3 linked regions of the Stegostoma tigrinum genome follow. The protein of the gene in region 3 purifies or fractionates together with the protein of the main gene of each other region. This does not show direct contact. Links are inferred from orthologs where the notes say so. Each region holds a gene or a part of one and is shown on either strand. Other genes may lie near its edges.

Region 1 (7,357 bases), on a different chromosome or scaffold from region 3:
TGCAGGAGCTGGGGTGTAGTGTATACCCAGCGGTGACATTTCCACGCCATGTTGACAAATTTCTGAGAACTCCGATGGTGGCTTTGGGCCCCAACGACTGGGACACATCGGTGCAGCACAGAGTGCTGCGCAAGCCCCCCCCTCCACCGCGGCTTACCCTCTTTTCGGCCATCTCCTTCTCCCTCTGCAGTTTCCTGCTCTTCTCCACCCAAGCCATGGCATCATCAAGCCAAGCGTCATCGTCGCTGAGAGACTTCACTTTCCTGCGCCAGAGAGGGGACGTCAAAACATGCAACTCAGGCGATCTCCTCTTGTCACCCACGCAAACGGGGGCCCGGCCATTCCTCACGAAGCAGGCGATGGTGAGCTGCCCTTCCTGTGTGTGTGTGTGTGTGTGTGTGTGTGTGTGTGTGTGTGTGTGGGTGTGGGTGGGGGTGTGGGTGGGGGTGTGGGTGGGGGTGTGGGTGGGGGTGTGGGTGGGGGTGGGGGTGGGGGTGGGGGTGGGGGTGGGGGTGGGGGTGGGGGTGGGGGTGGGGGTGGGGGTGGGGGGTGCTGCCTTCTTGAACTGCTACAAGTCCACCTGCTGCAGGTTGACCCACAAATGCCCTCAGGGAGGGAATTCCAGGATTTTGACCTCGGAACGGCGATACAGTTCCAAGCCAGGATGGTGAATGGCTTGGAGCGGAACATGCAGGGGCTGCTGCCCTTCCAGATGGAAGCGGGTGGTGGGTTTGGAAGGTGCTGCCTGAGGATCTTTAGTGAGTTTCTGCAGAGCATCTTGTAGATGGTACACATTGCTGCAACTGAGCGTCGGTGGGTGGAGGGAGCGGGATGTCTGCGCAGGGACTGCTTTGCACTGGGTGGCATCGTGTTAGCTCAGCTGGCTGAATTGCCAACATACGATTTGGAGTGACACAGGCTGCAAAGGTTCAATTCCCACTCCAGCCATTGAGGGCCCGGCACCTCCCTCCCTCGACTTTCCTCCAGGTCACGGAAGGCAATGGAACTCAATTCGGAGAAAAGAACACCAAGGAATTGGCTCAAGATTGAGAAGGGGCAGACAAAGTGCCTAGACTGAGCACAAATGCCATGCTAAGTTCACTATCACTGCTCCATCCCTGTAACCACATCAGCGGGAATGAGGACATTCCTGAAACTCAGAGTCAGCTATATCCCCTCCCCCTGTTGGCTCACTCGGCCATGGCCCAGCCGAGCTCCCAGTCGGGGATGATTTGTAATAGTCATAAAGCTCCAGGAGCCTAGCCTCAAATCCCATTGCTGGGACCTATCCACAGGCTTTCCATAATAGGTTGGTTCCACAGCGGCTGGGATACAGCAGTGCACCCAAAGCTCTCAGTTTTCATACATTTCTATGTTCTATTTCCATTAACCTTTGTGTTTTGGTGCTGTCAGATCTGGTTACTGTGCTTTATTTTTAAGTACACAAAGAGCAGCCCAGTTCCCAGGGAGACAAGGTGAGAAAGGTTCTCGCGGACGCCGGGTCTGACCTACCCTAGCTTCTGATTCAGGAGACGTTTCTCCTTCAGGGCAGCAAGCTTCACCCGAATGTCCTCCTGCTGCTTCATGGCGATGGGGTTAATGGCTGGGACCACAACTGGGTCCTCATTTGTCCCGGTCTCAGCTGCAGCAGTGTGTGGGGCGGGGGGGGGGGGGGGGGGGGGGGGGGGTGGGGGGGAAGAGGGGGGCAAGGCAGAGAGAGCGAGAACATGTTAGCACAGCAACTCCCTTCGAAAACAGACAAGTTCACAGTGTGGTCATTGCTGAGATTTGGGAATCCCAGAGACTAGTCTGGGCATGTCACGATGGCCTGTCACGCTGCCTGAGAGTACATAATTGCAGGAGGAACTCCACAAATCAGCATCCCCACAGATCCATTACCATAGAAGGGGTCTCTCCTGAAAGACGCCAACCCACCGCAATGCCCTGGAACGCGTCCAAGATGATGGCTCCAAGCCTCTGAGGTTTTGGACCTTACAACCTCCTCTAAGTCTAGCAGTAAGAGACTGTTGCCTTCTCAGCTGTGAAGCTGTCAACCTTAAATTGAAGGGTAAAAACACTAGGGGAAAAATAAAAGCTCCATCTGGTTTTTGTCTCGAGGTCCAAACTCTCATTCCATTTTCAAATGTCAGAGCACCAGGACTCTGTCCCAAATCTCTCGTGAGTGGCCTGCTCTTCCCCTGAAGGCTTTCTAACCCTAAAGCCAGCACCACCCTCACCTTCATTCTCACACAACACAGGAAGCCATTTAGCTCACCGTGGGTCTCCTTTTGAAAGAGCGATTCATTTAGTCCCAGTCTCCTCCACACCCAGTTTACAGAGCCCCTGCAGGGTGTAAGTAGGTCATTCGGCCCAACTGGTCCACACTGCCCCTCCGAACAGCACCCCACCCAGACCCATTCCCCTACCCCTACATTTCCCACCTTTAGCCCACCCTAACCCGCACATCCCTGGGCACTATGGGACAATTTAGCACGGCCAATCCACCCTAACCTGCACATCCCTGGGCACTATGGGACAATTTAGCACGGCCAATCCACCCTAACCCGCACATCCCTGGGCACTATGGGACAATTTAGCACGGCCAACCCACCCTAACCTGCACATCCCTGGGCACTATGGGACAATTTAGCACGGCCAATCCACCCTAACCCGCACATCCGTGGACACTATGGGACAATTTAGCACGGCCAATCCACCCTAACCTGCGCATTTCCGGAAACCGGAGCACCCAGAGGAAACCCACGCAGATGCAGACAGTCGCCCGAGGGTGGAATCGAACCTGGGTCCCTGGTGCTGTGAGGCAGCAGTGCTCACCGCTAAGACACCGTGTTCTTGTCCCGCAGTCCTGGAATTGGGACTTTTTAAGCTCAATTATTTATCTTCAAAAGTTCCCACTGAATCTGCTCCCACCACCCTTTCGTGAAGCACTTTCCAAGTTACAACAACTCTGCACTTCAGAAAAAAAATCTCATTTCCCACTCTTCAGATTCCCTTCACCCTCCTGTCAGTAGAATTAATCCCCCAGTCCTTGCGTGATCACAACCAGTGCTGTTTGCCAGCAAATCTCGCCTCAACCCTCCCCCCGCCACCTCCCCCAGGTAACTGAAGTCACTCGTAGCCTGGGTCCTATTTCTGCTCAACTCTGTCTGCAATCGATCCAGAACGGCCCTTTCAGTTCAACTGTTCGGTCCCTCCGATACCCGTTCCCCCTTTCTACAGCACAGAAATCACTTTCAGAACAAACTGGACTCACTCTTTTTCGAATCATTTACTTCCAGGGGTTTGAGCCCGAGCTTGGCTCTCAGCTTGCTGCAGAGAACAGAGGACAATTAGATCAGAAGGCTTCACTTTTCTATAAATGCCGATCACAGGGCCAACCGCGAGCATTTGACGGCCAATCAAGCAATTCTGAAATCTGCCAGCCATCCTGCGCACAGCAAGCTCCCACAAATAAGGATGACAATGACAATGCAGCGATACTAATGCTGGGTGGTGAACGAACGCTGGCGCTAAGGACACAGGCAGGATGCTCGTCCTTTGCTTCTTAGCTATGGGATTTTTTTTATAAATAACCGACCCAACAAGGAAGATGGGGCTTCAGTTTAACACGATAGCGTGGAGCTCCCTCAGCGCTGACCCTCCGACAGTACAGCGCTCCCTCGGTCCCGAAAGGGCAGCCCTGTGCCTCTCATGTGTCCCACAGTCACCACCACAGATCAGATGGACCGAATGGCCCGAGACTGCTGCAAATTCACTCACTTTGTTTCTTCGATGCTCAAGGAGGCGCTCGCAGCACCAGACTTTGTCCCTGGAGCTGAAGGTGAAGAGAATGTGCAGTGAGAACAGGTTCACTCGACATGCAGCACATTCCTAATCGCTGACCACAACCACCCCCTGGAATCCAGGAGTGTCCAAAAGCTTAAAGCTTGCTGCAGGGACACATCCGCAGGAGGCTTGCACACACCTCCAGACTGCTGCCCGCAAAGACCCTCACCCGACAATCCCTCCCAGTGCCCTACTCCTCACTTGGAGGGACCCTGTCTGTACCAACCTCACCCCGGCTGGTATAGGGGAAGGGGTACCCCTTCCCCTGGCACCTCACTGCAGAGAGACCCCAACCTTCCCACCAACCAGGACATGGAAAGTGGGGGGGACTCTGGCCCCAGTCCTCAAAGATGGAAGGGGCTTTGGCCCCGATCCTTGCTCGTGCCAGGGTCAGGGAGCGACGCTGACCCTCAGCCGCACCCCCCAACGCAGAGAGTAAGAGATTCTGACACCAAAGCCCACCCTGAACGGATAGGGAAGGGGGGGAGGGGGGGAACATGAGACACTCTGGCCCCCCAGCCCGTGCTCTGCCCCAGGGGGGTCTGCAGATTCCCTACCCTAGGCCGTTTCCCACCCCCACCCCAATTACTCTCGTCACCCCGGCATCTCTGACCTGCCTCCTCGGTCTTCTCCCTCTTGGGGTGCCGTTCTGGCTGGGCGTCGGCGGCTGGTGCGGGGAGGGGTCTCTTGTCCCGCTCGCGGTCCCTGTCCCGGTGACGGCGGCCCTCCCTCTCCCGGCTGCCCCCGCGCTGCTTGCGCTCCTTGTGTTTGTGCTTCTTGTGGCGGGCCGACTCCTCCCCACCCCCTGAGCCCCTCTCCCTCTCCCTCTCCCGGTGCTTCTTGGAGGATCCCATTGTCCGCCTTTAAACCCCCCACAAACCCCAATCCCTGTGTCTGTCTGTGTGTCTGTGTGTGTCTGTCTGTCTGTCTCTCTGTCTCTGTCTGTCTGTCTCTCTGTCTGTCTGTGTGTGTCTGTCTGTCTCTCTGTGTCTGTCTGTCTGTCTCTCTGTCTGTCTGTCTGTGTGTGTCTGTCTGTCTGTCTCTCTGTGTCTGTCTGTCTGTCTCTCTGTCTGTCTGTCTGTGTGTCTCTCTGTCAGTGTGTCTCTGTGTGTCTCTCTGTCTGTGTGTCTGTCTGTCTCTCTGTCTGTCTGTGTGTGTCTGTCTGTCTGTCTCTCTGTGTCTGTCTGTGTGTCTCTCTGTCTGTGTGTCTCTGTGTGTCTCTCTGTCTGTGTGTCTCTCTGTCTGTGTGTCTCTGTGTGTCTCTCTGTCTGTGTGTCTCTGTGTGTCTGTCTGTCTCTCTGTCTGTGTCTGTCTCTCTCTGTCTGTCTGTGTGTCTCTCTGTCTGTGTGTCTCTGTGTGTCTCTCTGTCTGTGTGTCTCTCTGTCTGTGTGTCTCTGTGTGTCTGTCTGTCTCTCTGTCTGTGTCTGTCTCTCTCTGTCTGTCTGTGTGTCTCTGTCTGTGTGTCTCTGTGTGTCTGTCTCTGTCTGTCTGTCTCTGTCTGTCTGTCTCTGTGTGTGTCTGGGGGGGTGGTGCAGAGATGGGTCTGACAGCAGCAGGGGGCGCGCACTCGATCACGCGCAACTCACCGCAGACGCGCGCTCTCTCACACGGCCCACGGCGGGAGTGGGGGGCGGGGGTGAGCGCGCTCTACACGCACCCGCGGGTGGTGGGTGCGCGCGCGCACTAACTGTCGGTCGCGCGCACCACGGCTCGGCTGTCCCGGAAAACGCGCGGTCACGCTCCCGAGAGATGGATGTTTGACGAGGGAGAGGGGGGACGACGCGCGTCCCAGGTCGGTCACGCGCGCCCCCGGGAGCGCGCGCAATCACAGAAAAGGGGGGGTAGGCGCGCGCGCTGAGGTTCGGCGGAGGGTGGGGGAGCGAGCGACAGGGTCGCGCGCTCGCAATCGACGGGGGCGCGCTACATCCCGCGCTTGTGGTTCACGCGCTGTTAGGGAGCTCCGAGCCGGGAACGCGCGCCGTTCACCGAGGCCGCGCCTTTCGGGGTTTAGTGGCGTGCGCGCTCCCCTCCCCGTCGGACACGCGTGCCGCGCGCGCTCCCGTTGCCGGGACCGGTGTCTCCTCGCGCTCCGGCCGAAAGACGTCGCCTCCGACTAAGATGGCCGCCACTTTCCGGTTGACCCTTCACCCCGTCCCCTCTCCCTAAACGTCACATCCTTCCCCGCCCTCTTAAAGCGGCAATTTACCCGCTTTTTTAAAAAAATCGATTATGTTTCCCTCCTAATCGTCTCTTCACAATAAAATGTTTTGGCTACAGATTCCGGCACGATTTCTCCATCCACTTTCACACTTCTACTGCTGAGTCTATTTAAAGTTGTACAATGGAAAGTATTCCCCCTTCTAAAGCCCTCAATCCAGGCCACTCTCTCCACACTCAGCACAACCTCATTGATCTTCAGCAAACCGGCCTCCAAATGCATCCGACACTGTTTAATTCAATAACTTTTTCTCCCAGTAGGGAGAGTGAGTGTATTGACAGAGTTTTATGTACAGTTTGGAGCTGTAGAGGGAGCTTTACTCTGAATCTAACCCCGTGCTGTCCCTGGGGAGTGTTTGATGGGGAACGGTGTTGAGGGAGCTCTACTCTGTATCTAACCCCGTGCTGCCCCTGTCCTGGGGAGTGTTTGATGGGGGACAGTGTAGAGGGAGCTTCACTCTGTATCTAACCCTGTGCTGCCCCTGTCCTGGGCAGTGTTTGATGGGGAACAGTGTAGAGGGAGCTTCACTCTGTATCTAACCCCGTGCTGTCCCTGTCCCTGGGAGTGTTTGATGGGCGGACAGTGCAGAGGGAGCTTTACTCTGTATCTAACCCCGTGCTCTCCCTCCCCTGGGGAGTGTTTGATGGGGGACAGTGCAGAGGGAGCTTTACTCTGTATCTAACCCTGTGCTCTCCCTGCCCTGGGGAGTGTTTGATGGGGGACAGTGCAGAGGGAGCTTTACTCTGTATCTAACCCTGTGCTCTCCCTGTCCTGGGGAGTGTTTGATGGGCGGACAGTGCAGAGGGAGCTTTACTCTGTATCTAACCCCGTGCTCTCCCTGCCCTGGGGAGTGTTTGATGGGGGACAGTGCAGAGGCACCTCTAAGTGCGATGTGATCACTGTAGCTGAGTGTTGGGGCATGGATTGAGGCGAATTAACTGGCTTCGTGAAACTATCATCATTGCAATAATTCTGACATCCCCGATCATCCTCTTGGGACGTGGGGTCGATTCCTACTGCGGCAGAAGAAAATTAAACGGGATAATTGCGGAGTTGAAACCCCCATTCTGAGTTTCAATTCTGTAGAATAAAAATAATCTGATCACTGACGACCTTTCGAGAAGGAAACACCCGAAGCAGTGACGTGCTCCCGCTTCTAAGCAATTGTCTCTTAACTGGCCTCCGAAATGGTCAAACAAAAATTGAGGACGGTCCACAGACACGTCCACGAGAGCGAAATAAATGAAAGTGAGTTAGTTTGAGTCCGTGCCGCTACAGTGGACCGCAACGAGG
Region 2 (7,357 bases), on a different chromosome or scaffold from region 3:
TTCTTCTCTCAGAGGATTGTAATCCATGGAATTCTTTATCAGAGGGCTGTAAAAGCTGTGACATTAAGTACATTCAAGGTTCAGAAAGACAGATTTTTAAGCAGTACAGAAATCAAGGGTTATTGGGAAAAAGCAAGGAAATGGAGTTGAGGATTACCAGATCAGATATCTCACTGAATCATGAAGCAGACTCAACGAGCTGAAATCCTACTTTAGTTCCCAACTTGTAAGGTAACACTTCTACCTCTTGGTTTTTAAAGTGTTAGATTAGATGGAACACAATCTAATGGATGTGAGTTTGCTCGGTGAGCTGGAAGGTTAGTTTTCAGACGTTTCGTCACCATTCTAGGCAACATCATCAGTGAGCCTCCGATGAAGCGCCAGTGTTATGTCCCGCTTTCTATTTATCTGTTTAGGTTTCCTTGGGTTGGTGATGTCACTTCCTGCATTGGTGATGTCAATAGAAACTCAACCTGAGCTACAAATCTTCTCAAAACTCGTTAACACCATCTAATTTACCAGTTTTAGTTCTTCATAACTAATAATACTCCCTGGAAATCCAACAAAACGGTTTATGTTGACAGTTCACTTCAACACATTGGTATTGACAAACATCACATATCTATATAGGTCCCTGGCAGTCATATTATTAGCAAGTTCAGTCCCAGATGACTGTTAAAATTGGGTCAGACCGGAACGTGGATTTGAAACCACAGTTAGATCACCCATAATCTTATTTGAATGAAAGAAAAGACTCAAAAAGCCTTCATTTTCTTATCCATACAGAAAACTTCATACTGAAATTATCTCAGTAGCCATTTGCCCTGCACTTCATAGAGTCCTTCCAGCGCGGAAGCAGGCCATTTGGCTTATTTAGTCCACACTGACCCTCTGAAGAGCATCCCACCCAAACCTCGACCCCCATCCCAATCCCCAGCCCCATAGTTCTGCATTTCCCATGACTAATCCACCCAACCTACACATCGTTGGGCACTGTAGGCAATTTACCATTGCCAATCCAGCTACCTACACATCTTTGGATTATGGTAAGAAACTGAAGCACTTGGAGGAAACCCATGCAGACACGGGAAGAACACACTCTTTGCATAAACAGTTACCTGAGGGCAAATCAAACCTGGGTCTGTGGTGATAAAATGTGAGGCTGGATGAACACAGCAGGCCACGCAGCATCTCAGGAGCACAAAAGCTGACGTTTCGGGCCTAGACCCTTCATCAGAGAGCGGGATGGGGAGAGGGAACTGGAATAAATAGGAAGAGAGGGGGAGGCGGACCGAAGATGGAGAGAAAAGAAGATAGGTGGAGAGAGTATAGGTGGGGAGGTAGGGAGGGGATAGGTCAGTCCAGGGAAGACGGACAGGTCAAGGAGGTGGGATGAGGTTAGTAGGTAGATGGGGGTGCGGCTTGGGGTGGGAGGAAGGGATGGGTGAGAGGAAGAACTGGTTAGGGAGGCAGAGACAGGTTGGACTGGTTTTGGGATGCAGTGGGTGGGGGGGGAAGAGCTGGGCTGGTTGTGTGGTGCAGTGGGGGGAGGGGACGAACTGGGCTGGTTTAGGGATGCTGTAGGGGAAGGGGAGATTTTGAAACTGGTGAAGTCCACATTGATACCATTAGGCTGCAGGGTTCCCAGGCGGAATATCAGTTGCTGTTCCTGCAACCTTCGGGTGGCATCATTGTGGCACTGCAGGAGGCCCATGATGGACATGTCATCTAAAGAATGGGAGGGGGAGAGGAAATGGTTTGCGACTGGGAGGTGCAGTTGTTTGTTGCGGACTGAGCGGAGGTGTTCTGCAAAGCGGTCTCCAAGCCTCCGCTTGGTTTCCCCAATAGGCCCTCCAACCCCACCACACCCGGCACCTTCCCCTGCAACCGCAGGAAATGCTACACTTGCCCCCACACCTCCTCCCTCACCCCTATCCCAGGCCCCAAGATGACATTCCACATTAAGCAGAGGTTCACCTGCACATCTGCCAATGTGGTATACTGCATCCACTGTACCCGGTGTGGCTTCCTCTACATTGGGGAAACCAAGCGGAGGCTTGTAGACTGCTTTGCAGAACACCTCCGCTCAGTTCGCAACAAACAACTGCACCTCCCAGTCGCAAACCATTTCCACTCCCCCTCCCATTCTCTAGATGACATGTCCATCATGGGCCTCCTGCAGTGCCACAATGATGCCACCCGAAAGTTGCATGAACAGCAACTCATATTCCGCCTGGGAACCCTGCAGCCTAATGGTATCAATGTGGACTTCACCAGTTTCAAAATCTCCCCTTCCCCTACAGCATCCCTAAACCAGCCCAGTTCGTCCCCTCCCCCCACTGCACCACACAACCAGCCCAGCTCTTCCCCCCCCCCACCCACTGCATCCCAAAACCAGTCCAACCTGTCTCTGCCTCCCTAACCTGTTCTTCCTCTCACCCACACAACCAGCCCAGCTCTTCCCCCCCCCACCCACTGCATCCCAAAACCAGTCCAACCTGTCTCTGCCTCCCTAACCTGTTCTTCCTCTCACCCATCCCTTCCTCCCACCCCAAGCCGCACCCCCATCTACCTACTAACCTCATCCCACCTCCTTGACCTGTCCGTCTTCCCTGGACTGACCTATCCCCTCCCTACCTCCCCACCTATACTCTCTCCACCTATCTTCTTTTCTCTCCATCTTCAGTCCGCCTCCCCCTCTCTTCCTATTTATTCCAGTTCCCTCTCCCCATCCCGCTCTCTGATGAAGGGTCTAGGCCCGAAACGTCAGCTTTTGTGCTCCTGAGATGCTGCTTGGCCTGCTGTGTTCATCCAGCCTCACATTTTATCATCTTGGAATTCTCCAGCATCTGCAGTTCCCATTATCTCTGGGTCCGTGGTGCTGTGAGGCAGCAGTGCTCACCATTCAGCCACTGTGCTGACCAATTGCAGGATTGTGGGCATTTTCAATGAACACATTCAACAGTAATACTGACAAAAGGGACAATTCTCAGGACACTCTTTACTCCGGTCAATATTGTTCAACAGCAGTTGTCATCGAGAAAGATAGACTCACCCAAGACCCTCCCTACTTGCTATCATAATATCTGGACTCTTAAATAATCTGCTTTAGTAGTACAGCTGTACCTGGGAAAGCTTAAATAAAACAGCACTCTCAACCAGGCCTATAATTCACAATGCAGAAACAGCTCAAATAGATTTCAACTTTGAGACAGTCCCTTGGCCACCACACAAAAATTTTTAATATGGTTAGTAAAATATTTGGAAGTCAAAATTACACCTCTGCCAGTCTGTTAACAAGGTAACTAGCAAACAGACAACACCTGAGAAGAATCATTAACATTTCAGATCAAAGCCTTTCAGGGAAAAGAGGGAATTATAGACCAGTTTGCCTGACATTGGGAGCAGGGAAAATGCTTGTGTCTTTATTATATATTTAATAGTGCAGTACTTGGGAAAAAAAAGTGGCATGATTGGGCAACGTCAGCATGGATTTACTAATGGGAAATCGTGCTTGACAAACCTACTGGAATTTTTCAAGGACCTTACTAGTAGAATTGTTGAGGAGAGCCAGTGTTTGGTAAGGTCCAATATAAAAGGAAACAACATGGGATTGGGATTAGTGCACTGACATAGATATTGAACTGATTGGCAGACAGGAAACAAAATAGGAATGAACAGGTCATTTTATGAGGGAAAACTATTGACCAATAGGGTTCAACAGGGATCAGTGCCTGCATCCCAGCTGTTCATAATATATATTAATGGTTTAGATTAGGGAAGTTTGTAGATTATACAAAACTGAGGGAATTGCTGGGAGGAAGAGAGATGCTATGGTTTGATTTGGACAGTTTGAGAGAGTGGGGCAATGTATGGCAGATAAATTGGAATATGAATAAACGTGAGGTTATCCACTTTGGTAGCAAAAACAAGGATGATTATCAGAATGGTGATAAATTGGGGAAGGGGAGAAGTGCACTGAAACTTGGAGACGTTGCACACTAATTGCTGTAAGTATGCATGCTGGTGCAGTTGGCAGTGAAGAAAGCAAAGGTTGGCCTTCATAGCAAGGCAATATGACTACAAAAGCAGGGCTGTCCTGGTGCATTTTAAGGCCATAATTGAGGTATTGTGTAGAGTTTTCATTTGATTATTTAAGGAAAGATGCTATGTCTTAGGAACGAGCACAGGAAATGTTTACCAGATTGATTCGTGGGATGCAGATAGAACCGTATAAACTAGAGATTGAGAATGTGAAGAGATCTTATGGAAGTCTATAAAAGTTTAAGAGGATTAGATGGAACAAATGCAGGGTGTTCTTGTTGACGGGGGAAGTCCAGAACTAGAGGCCAGCCATAAGACTGAACAGAAATGCCTTTTCCCACCCGAGTGGTGAACTTATGGAATTCTGCCATAGAAAATAATTAACAGAAAAACACCATCTCTTCAAGGAGTTCGACATAGTTCTTAGGGCTAAACGGATTCGAGGGTATGAGGAGAAAGCGAGAAGGGGCTACTGAGTTGATGATCAGCCACGATCATATTGAATGGCGGATCATACTCGAAGAACTAAATGGCTTTCACTTGCTCCTACTTTCTATCTGAGAAATGCGTTCGAAGGAGTCTCCGATCCAAATTCTTCCGCGGATTCCCCCTCGTTAGGCCTGTCACGATTGTAATATTAACTCGCTTGGCCAGCTCTAGGTACCTGCCGGTGCTCGGTATTTAAGCAGGACAGGTAAACGGTGCAGGTATACTGCTTAGATTTAATTGCTCGTGTTCGCAGTGTTGTAAACACCACCCGGGACGGGGAGAAGGCCCAGATCGAGCGGAGGGTCCAAATCGAGGCCCCAGGAGCCTACACTAGGGAGGACGAGCACTTGGCAGTTACACACCTTGTGACAACAGCCCGACCCTTTGTCTGCCCTCGGCTGCAGGCGCCACCCGGCCCAAGGAAATGGAGAAAATCCTCGAACGTCGTCGCCACCACCGAGCCGCAGCTCCCCACGCATGCGCACCCCTCGCCTCTTCTTTCCCCCACCTCACACATTTCACTTTTTTAAAAAACTGATTATTTTCCATTCATTTCTCTCAGAAATTGCCGGGCAGTGGAGGGAAACTTATAAATTCTGTATTTGGAGATCGCACAGTGCCACTTACGAAACTTCTTTTAATCAAACTGCCTGACGTCACTAGGTCAAGGGGTAACGCGGTTTTCCGGTTACTTTTGTTTTCGGAAATGACGCTGGAAACCGCAAAAGAGGCCGGGAGAAAATAAAGATGAAGGAAAAATAATTTCTGACTGACAGAAAATTTCAAAATACGAAAAGAGTTCAGGTCCGTGGTCTGGCGATGTCTAGGACCAAGCCGTGGCCGGTGAACTCTGACCTTATTTGCCGAAGGGTGGCGATTGACAGAGCACTAATCCAATCAGAGATAGGGACCTGTGGTACCGGACATGTCAATCATGGGTTCGGTGCCAATCGAAATAGTGATAGAAGGCGGGATTTCCGCAGGTGGCGGGTAGCCGTGAAGAAACGGGAGACGGCAGCGGCGGGCTCACGAATTGAGGTGAGTACAGGGACAAGATTGAGTTGACTCGGCTTGGCCCGTGGGGTTGCAGAGATAGAGCCACATGTATGCGGTTCTGAGGAAAGGTCACCGGACCCGAAACGTTAACTCTTCTTCTTCACTGATGCTGCCAGACTCGCTGAGCTTTTTCAGCAACTTTGTTTTTGTTCCTGATGTACAGAATCCACAGTTCTTTTGGTTTTTATATGCGGGCTATATTGACCAAACAGTCTGACTCTGCAGCATTAACCTGCGGCCAGGGCTGACTGTCAGAAAACGACAAAAACTCTTTACACTGCTCAGCTCAACTCAAATCAGCGCTGTGGGAGCGCCGTGCCAGAGGAGGGCTAGGAGCCTGTTTTCATGTTTTATGAGATTCAAAAATGTCTTTATGCCATTCTTTTCCTTTCTTGAAGTGTAGTGAGCTGTGCAAGCTATCGTGTATGTGGACGCCCTAAAAAGAGCAAATGTGTTAAATAATCAATGAATTGTTGCTAGGTATTAATGAACACCTATGTGTTTGATGAGCCTGGCATGGACTTCTTACTGTGTTTTGAAAAGTTGGTTTACCCTTGATTAGTTAGATTGAATTGCACTATAAAAACCTGAATGAATTGATAGTATCTAATAAAACAGTGCTCCCTGTAAATTCTGTCTGAGGGGAAGTATTTCAAAAAATGGTCATTGGAAAAAGTTGCTATGTAGCATTTACATTAAATCAAGTTAATCGGGCAGAGTCAGGATGGTTTTGCAAAAGGGAGGTCATGTTTGAGGAAGTAATGTGCTGTGGATGGAGGGGAACACGTAAAAAACTGAACTTGATTTCCAGATGGAAATTGTGAAAGGTTATTGTGGAAAATGAAAGCTCATGGTGTAATTGCTAGCTTATTGTCATGGTCAGAACTTTGACTGGATAACTGGAAGCAGAACGTAGGGTCTCTTTCAGTTTGGCAGTATGGAACGACTAATGGGCTGGTGCTTGGACCTCAACTGTACAATTAATAGAAGTGACTAGGATGAAGGGATGGACTGTTGCCAAATTTGCTGTTATGCACGTATATGTGAGAAAGTGACATAACAAGGAGACTGCAAAATGATGCAGGTAGATTACGTGAATGGCCAGGTGAAGTATAATATGGGGAAAATGAGAAAAATGTCTATCTTAACAGGAAGGATTTTAAAACAAAAAGACAACTCATCTAAACGGTGAGACACTGCAGAGGCCAGAGATGCAAAAAGATCTGGGTGTCTGCTAGTACACTAATTGAAAAAGTTTAGAATGCGGGTACAGCAGTTAATTAGGGTAACTTATAGAATGTTACTGTTTAATGCAAGAGGATTTAACTACAAAAATTGTGAATGCATATCTAGCATTCTGTGTACTGTGTTCGTCACTTCATTTACAGAAGCATGTAAATGCTTTCTAGTCAGTTTGGAGACTTACCAGACAAATAGCTGAATTGAGTGGATTGTCATTTAAGCAAAAGTTGGACAGTCTAGGTTTATTTATGGTGGAGTTCTGAAGAGCGGGGTGGGGGGGTGATCTTGATTTAAAACATAAGACTTTGAGAGGTCTTGACTCAGTAAGTATAGAGCTGGTGTGCATTCTTTTATTAGAGTTAAGAACTAGGGGTTACTGTTTAAAGCTCAGACGTCACCCGTTTAAAATAATCTGAGGTTTCAGGTTCTTTAGAACTCTTTTGAAAATGTGGTAGCAGAATCTCTTGTATTTTTTAAAGCAGACGTCGATAGATTCTTGATAACGGGTAGAAGATTGGAGTGAATC
Region 3 (7,357 bases):
TTAATCAGGGCTGAGAGTTCAATACAGGTCCTGAAACCATAGTTATAAGCTCCACATTAGTCTCAACAATTAGAAACCAAAAGCAACATCAGAGCTTGGACAATAAAGTATAAAGAGGCTGGTTTGGGTTAAAACCTAGCACCCATGACGAATATATTGTAAAATTAGTCCACAAGTGCAAACTGAAGGTTTGCTCACACCTGCAAAATTCAGGCACCAGCTGTAAATCCTGCAGTGAAGATCAAGTTAGTCTGATCAATTCTAAGCTCACCATTAGAACCCATTCTTCCCCTTTCAATACATTGCCTTCTTGCAGGTTGCCAAATAACACTGTTACTTCACACTAAAATAGTCCATTGATGTGTTAAGCATCTCCAAAAATTTAATTCTCACAAGCTCTCTATCAGCTTCAGCTAATCATCACTGCCCATTATCACGTCCATCCTGACTAAACTGAATTGATTTCTTGTGCCAATTTCAAAGGCCCTACCCCACTCATTCAATCCATGTATAGCTTCTCTTTAATCTATGAAATCTGTAACACTACACTCCAGCCATTGGTATCCATTTCTTTAAATTGGTTTTACTTCTGTCTCCCAACACATATATTCTAATTGCTTAGTACACATCCTTGAAATTTTTCATACTTCTCTACCTGCTTCCTATAGCCTCATGAAAACTGAACTGTTCAAATGCACTACTAGTCTTCCATTGTTCATTTCTCCCCCTTGTAAAATGCTGAGATGGTCACCAATCTCATTAATATAAGTTGTAGTTGGAGTGAAGCTGACGAAATAGAATGCTGGCGTAATTCCAATTGTAAGGACTCTGGAGGAGGAACACTACATTGGAACAAAATAGCAATTATTTTCATAGCTTCCTATGAACACATAAACCAAAAATTCACCAGGATGTTACCAGGACTTGAGGGTTTTTTTATTCATTTTATGGGATGTGGGCACTGCAGGCTGGCCAGCATTTATTGTCCATTCCTAGCTGCCCTTGAGAAGGTGGTGGTGAGCTGCCTTCTTGAACTGATGTAGCCTATCATTGTGGGTTGACCCACAATGCCATCGGGGAGGGAATTCCAGGATTTTGACCCAGTGACTGTGAAGGAACATCAATGTATATCCAAGTCAGGATGGTGAATGGCTTGGAGGGGAACTTGAACTTGGTGGTGTTCTTGTGTATCTACTGCCCTTCTCTTTCGAGATGGAAGTTATCATGGGTTTGGAAGGTGCTGTCAGAGGATCTTTGGTGAATTTCTGCAATGCATCTTGTAGATAGTACACACTGCTGCAACTGTGTGTTGGGGGTGGAGGGAGTGAATGTTTGAGAATGTAGTGCCAAAATTTTGGCATTAGTCCCTAGATGTTAGCAAGGAGGACTGTAGAGGGTTGACAGGGCTTTTAATAGACAGAAAGCAGAGAGTAGGAATTAACAGACCATGCTCAGGAAAGCAGGCTGTTAAATAATGCACAAAACTATATTGACTTGTGTTCATAAGCTATTTTCAGTCCAATAATTTCAGCTTAGGCACCAACTGTCATATTTCAAAATTTGCTGATGACACCAATTTGGGTGGGTACATTGTGAAACAGACTAAGAAAGGCTTCAAGAAGAATTTAGACAAACTTAGTGAATTGGCTAGAATATGCAGGTGGAAAATAATGTGAGTCAATGTGCAGTTATTTGCTTTAATTGAGAAACAAAAACAGAAAAGCAGACTTTTTCCTAAATGGTGAGAGGTTGGAAACTGAGGATGTCCAAAGATCCTACAAGTTAGCATTCAGGTTCAACAAATAACTAGGAAGGCATATGGTATGCTGGCTCTCCATCATAAGGGGACTTGAAAACAGGAATAAAAATATCTTGCTGCAGTTGAATAAAGCCTTTGCATGACCTCACCTGGAGTACAGTGTGCAGTTTGATTCCCATATCTAACAAAGGGATATGCATGCCAGAACAGGAGGGGAATGGAGGTTCACTAGATTAATCCCTGGGGTAGTGTAATTTTTCTATGATGGATTGAAGATGATGGATCTGCATTCTCTAAAGTTTCAAGACAAAATGAGGGATGAACTCACTAAAACTTACATAATGCTTACAGGATGCGAGAAGGCAGGGAAGCTGTTTCATCTGGCTGGTAAGTATAATTCCAGGGGACATAAACTAAGGAAGGGTAAGCTAAGTTCAAATCAAGACGTGCATGAATCTTGTCACTCAGAGGGTAATGAATATTGGAATTCTCTACCCAGGGGCTTCGGAAACTAAAAAAAAATTTGAGATATTCAAGTCAGAAATTAATGATATCAAACAGTACTAATATAGTGCAGGGAAGTGGTGTTGAAGTAAACGAATGGTGATGCAGGCTTGACTAGTTACATGGTCTGTTCCTGTTCCCAATGTAAATGCTAAGTTGCTGTTGTTGAACACATCCTGGTTTAATACTTCATCCAAAAAGCATAACATCTTCAAAGATGCAGAGTTGTCTCAAAATTCACTTAAATATTGAGCACTTACATGCTCAGCTACTGGAGGGCAGGTTAAATTTACTATATTCAGACTTGGAGATGAGCTGATCCCAAGTGATACTAGGAACGAGGCCAAAGTCAGTTGTTCCAAACAGCAAACCAAGCTTGTTTATGGTGGATCCTTGGTGAGCAATTGAAGAGAGATAGACTCAGTTTTTCGCAAAGGGTCAGAACATCAGCTAAGATCATTCCAGAGAAGTTTCTAACCCATTCACACTCATCCAAACAGGGGCAGCATCAAATCAAGGAAACAGCAAGGACACAAATGTTGGCATTATCTGCATACTTGGGTAGAATGTAACGGTACTAACAGCTGAAATTGTGGTCAGGCAATATATATTTTAAAAAACTGGTAGAAGATTAACATTCTGGGAACACACATGGCATAGGAACAAAAAGATAAATATTTGTGATGATGTGCTGAATGTTTCAACTCAAGCCATTGGGAAAAACTACAGAATAGAACAGATGCAACCAGTGATCAATCTTGTGAAATGTAGTTAAAGCTGAAGCAAAAATCTGTCGTCAGAAATAAAGAAGATTCCCTCACCACACAAGTGTTTGGAAGCATATATATTAACAAAAACATTCCTCCTTACATCATTCATGTACATATGCAGTACAAACATTTTCCACTACTCTTAAACTAAATGTATGGAAAAGGAATAGACCACCCAGTTCATTAAGCTTGGGCCACCACATAATACAAATGTCATTGACTTTCTGCCTTAACTTCATAAATCCTATATCAGGAATTTGTGAGACACCAACAATCCATCAATCTTAACCTTGAATATACCTAATAACACAGCACCTGTTAGTTTAGTCCAAATACCTCATCCTTTATCCTGAGATTATGGCCCCTCATTTTTCGTTTAACATCCAGAGAAAACAGCTTATCTATATTCACCCTATCATGTCCTGTAAGTTTCAATGAGTTCAACTCCAAATCTTCAAAGCTCTAAGAAATATATACCCAATCTCCTCAATCCCTGGTATAACAAACATGCTGTCGGAGGGATTAATTTGATGAACTGCCATTGTGCTCCTTCTATGGCAAGTACATCCCCTTTTCAGAAGGGTCGAGTGACATACTGGTAAACACCCTACATCTGAACCAGAAGGCCTGGGTTAAAGTCCCTCTGATGCTCTAGAGGTACATCATAATATTTCTGAACAAGTTGATCAAAAAATATTTATCCCCTGCTCAGGATAGGAAAACAAAACTGTAGGCAGTACTCCAAGACAGAATTCTAAAGATTCAAAATCTAACCCATTAAGTGATAACAAAGTGTGAAGCTGGATGAACACAGCAGGCCAAGCAGCATCTTAGGAGCACAAAAGCTGATGTTTCGGGCCTAGACCCTTCATCAGAAAAAGATTCTCGGATTCTCCAGCATCTGCAGTTCCCACTATCTCTAACCCATTAAGTGCGTTGTTGTAAAAACTTCTCCTCATCTCAGTGTTAGGTACTCGGTCCTCTATGCCGAACCACCTTTCTCCTCACACCACCACCCAAAAGTCAAGGGGAAACAAACTCTCAACCTGGTTTCAGTCAGACCAAGCACTTTGCTTATTCAGCTCACTCCGAACAAAGTTGACCCCAATCGCTCCAGCTTTACCATTGAACAAACAAGCAGACACAAAGGAAAACGTTGCATTAAACAGCCTGGAAACACAGGCCTCAGGTTCCTTGGCCAGCTCAGAAAATGGCCGGGTTAACAACCGGTCCGGGGGGGGGGGAAGTGAGGGAAAGAACATTCATCATGACGAAGGTATATTGTGCCTGACCCACCAAGCTCCGGCTACCAGGGACCAATAAACTAGCGGCCTCGAACCATCAGCCCCGCGACTACCTGAACACGCCTCCAACAGCCACCAAAACCGACCGGAAGAAAGTCGCGGCGCACCGGAACTTACTGTTATCAGTAACTTTATTAACAAAGAACACTGGCGCGATGCGCCAAAAACCGGAAGAAGGTCGTGGACCACCGGAAGTGGGGCTTTTCAATAACTTTATTGACAAGAAGACGCGGTGGATTCTGAGGGAGGTCGAGCGTTGGGGTGAGGTGCGGTTTTTGTTCCGTCTGCCGCTCGGTGTGCCGCGTAGTGCCAGCCTCCGCCGCAGCTCGAAGTCATGATTTGTCGCTAGATTGGGCGTGCCCGTGTTTATTGACTTTTAGATATGCCGCAGACTTTATCGCGATTTTGTACCAACGGCACGCACCTCCCGCTCGGCCTTCGCTTCCAGAGATAACGCTCACCAGGTGGGGCAGCTTTGTCCAGGGTGGTGGCTGTGTCTGAAGGCAAGGAACTGCTCATTAACATCCACCCCCCCCCCCTCCCCTCGGTGAGGGAAGGGGTGATATCGAGGGGGAAGGGGCCTTTCTGCCAGCTACCATGAGATACAATGAGAAGGAGCTGCTGTGTCTCTCCAAACAACCGGCCGAGAAGGCAGCCGAGCTCACCATGAAGGGCCCAAAGCGCAACGACGGTAAGGAGCAATCTAAGCTGCTCGAGAAACAAAAATAGAACTTGCTGGAAAAGCTCAGCAGGTCTGGCAACATTTGTGGGGTGGGGTGGGGTGGGTTGGGGAGAAACAGTTAAGGTTTCGGGCCCGGTGACCCTTCCTCAGAATTGGGGTCGGATGGGTTGAAAGGGATTTCACTTGCTCAGCAGGGAGGATGAAAACAGTCCTGGGGTGTTACATTGGAACCAATACCTACCTCATAATTTTGTAACCCGCTGGTGACATTGAGTGCAACGTGCAAGAGTTGACTCTGCCCACCTTTCCTTCGAGTATCTAAATTAGCAGTTATCACTTCTACTTAAACCCAGTTGCCTGTTCCATTTCTTAAATTCGCTGCAAGCACTACAATCAGAAAACAGTGGTTATGCACCGCAAATTGTTTAGCTCTATTATATGTCAATGTTAGCTGTCGATGGAGGGGACAGCAGAGAGTGTAAAGTAAATGCCAACCTATTATGATTGCATTTTATAAGTTTTTACTGTAACAATAACCCCTACCCTGGGGACAGGGAAACCACATGAACCAAAAAAATGTTATGAATGTTTCTTTTTTAAAAAAAGAAAGCTTCTATTTTAGTGTGGGGTCTGTAGCAGAAAAAGAGTGGGTTGGGGGGAGAGGGAGAGATTTGAGTGTGAAGTCTCATAGCCAGAAAACAAGATCATCAATAAATGGAGTTAAAGGGCAGCTGCTCATTGGGCTGGAAAGACAAACACAAGGTGGCCTGCAGATGTGGGAGTAATGGTGATTAGACTGTAAATGTATTTGCCGATAAGGAGAGTAACATAAAATTGTTAAAATCTGGATGTTAATGTGAGTCTTGTGGATAGAGGTGATGGTCGAACTGGGTTTGTTGTGCAATAAATAAGTCTTTTGAGTATGCTGAGTTCATGTTGAGTGGTCTGGAGGTGACTAGCATGAATGAGGGTTTAAATGGCCAATGATCCTGTATAGGAATGGAGACATTTGTTCATATGAGCATGATTTTTGTGATGTGTTGAAATGATTTCAAATTCAGTTTGGAGATTGATAACCATCCAATTCATTCAAAAATGTTGACTAGAGAGAGGTCTAAGAGGTCTGACATCTGTATTTACAAAGCTAAAAATGCTGACTATAGTTAGTATGTTGAGAGCATCTCTAGAGAGCGATACAGAGTTAATGTTTCAGGTGTGGAAAATATCAGCTGTAACAAGCTTTAGTAAGTGAAGGAGCATGGGAATGTGGATTTGGGAACAGAAGTAGGCCATTTGGCCTTTCCTTTTGCCTTTCCCATTAAATCATACGTGATCTGATTGTGGTCTCCATTCCATTTTCCTATCCAAAACTATCCACTGTATCAAATTCACTCATGGCCTTGTATATTTCAATAAGATCCCCTCATTCTACTAAGTTCTTGGAAGGAACTAGCCCACCCAGCTCAGTCGTTTCTTTGTAAGATGAGCCCTTCATATCAGAAATGAGCCAATTGAACCTTGTACACTTTTTTGAAAAAAAGTGTACATGTATTTGAGATATGGTTTCACCAAAGCCCTGCAGCAATAAAATGTTCCTGCTTATGTATTCCATTCCCCTTGTAATAATTGCCATTCTATTTGTCTCCCTAATCACTTGCCAGAGCTGCAAACTGATTTTTGTTTTGATTTGCATCACAGGTCACACAGACACAGTTTGGCAATCTCTGCCTGCACTGTTTTAAATAGTGGGTACATTTCCGTTTTTCCTTCCAAAGTAGACAAATTCACATTAAATTCAATCTGCCAGATTTTTGCCCTCTGTCAAATACCTGTTTCTAGACCCTTTACCTGCTTTTGGCAACTTACCCATCTTACATTTGACAATGATAATTGCTAATGAGTCTGCCCTATATTCAGCCCCATCATCCAAGAGGCAAGGCAAGTGAATGAGAGAAGAAAACTTAATCCCACCTGCCATCACCCATCTTGGTTGGCCTAATTCTACTTGATTAAAACCTCTAATGTCTGTTATATTTAAAGTTTTTTTTCCTTTAAAGATTGCATCCCTCAAATATTAGCTTTTTTCTCCACAGATGTTACTTGCTCCACTGAATAGCTCCTGCAATTTGTTCACTTCAGCGTCTGCAATATTTGCTTTGTGGGAGAGTTTAAACTGAAGCACAAGTTTGAATGAAAAGCAGTCCGAAACATTAACAAGTCATTCTCTTTCTAAATTCTATATATAACTAACATTTAAAAGCAGTTGTGTTAGGACTGATTGCTCTAGTTTATTGCTTTGGCCTGTTTATCATCATTTCCTGCTTGTGGGTGTTTAATC

Evidence for each region.
Region 1: the proteins of sf3a2 (region 3) and sart1 purify together in Homo sapiens (affinity purification with mass spectrometry; 3 studies listed by BioGRID and IntAct, with this or other methods). This does not show direct contact. The link is inferred for Stegostoma tigrinum from reciprocal best matches to the Homo sapiens genes SF3A2 and SART1.
Region 2: the proteins of sf3a2 (region 3) and ddx42 purify together in Homo sapiens (affinity purification with mass spectrometry; 3 studies listed by BioGRID and IntAct, with this or other methods). This does not show direct contact. The link is inferred for Stegostoma tigrinum from reciprocal best matches to the Homo sapiens genes SF3A2 and DDX42.

Annotation. Positions count from the first base shown.
Region 1 is NC_081395.1:7,244,027-7,251,383, reverse strand, and holds the start of sart1 (U4/U6.U5 tri-snRNP-associated protein 1), read right to left. Parts: upstream 4,989-7,357; 5' UTR 4,701-4,988; coding exon 4,460-4,700; intron 3,836-4,459; coding exon 3,781-3,835; intron 3,331-3,780; coding exon 3,275-3,330; intron 1,643-3,274; coding exon 1,513-1,642; intron 264-1,512; coding exon 158-263; intron 1-157. UniProt on the Homo sapiens protein: Plays a role in mRNA splicing as a component of the U4/U6-U5 tri-snRNP, one of the building blocks of the spliceosome. May also bind to DNA.
Region 2 is NC_081384.1:40,115,730-40,123,086, forward strand, and holds the start of ddx42 (ATP-dependent RNA helicase DDX42), read right to left. Parts: upstream 5,125-7,357; 5' UTR 4,896-5,124; intron 1-4,895. UniProt on the Homo sapiens protein: ATP-dependent RNA helicase that binds to partially double-stranded RNAs (dsRNAs) in order to unwind RNA secondary structures. Unwinding is promoted in the presence of single-strand binding proteins.
Region 3 is NC_081383.1:19,451,957-19,459,313, reverse strand, and holds the start of sf3a2 (splicing factor 3A subunit 2), read right to left. Parts: upstream 4,444-7,357; 5' UTR 4,391-4,443; exon of another isoform or gene 4,330-4,390; intron 4,250-4,329; exon of another isoform or gene 4,080-4,249; intron 2,656-4,079; exon of another isoform or gene 2,524-2,655; intron 31-2,523; exon of another isoform or gene 1-30. Other genes in the region: plekhj1 (pleckstrin homology domain-containing family J member 1), read left to right, coding at 4,935-5,028. UniProt on the Homo sapiens protein: Component of the 17S U2 SnRNP complex of the spliceosome, a large ribonucleoprotein complex that removes introns from transcribed pre-mRNAs.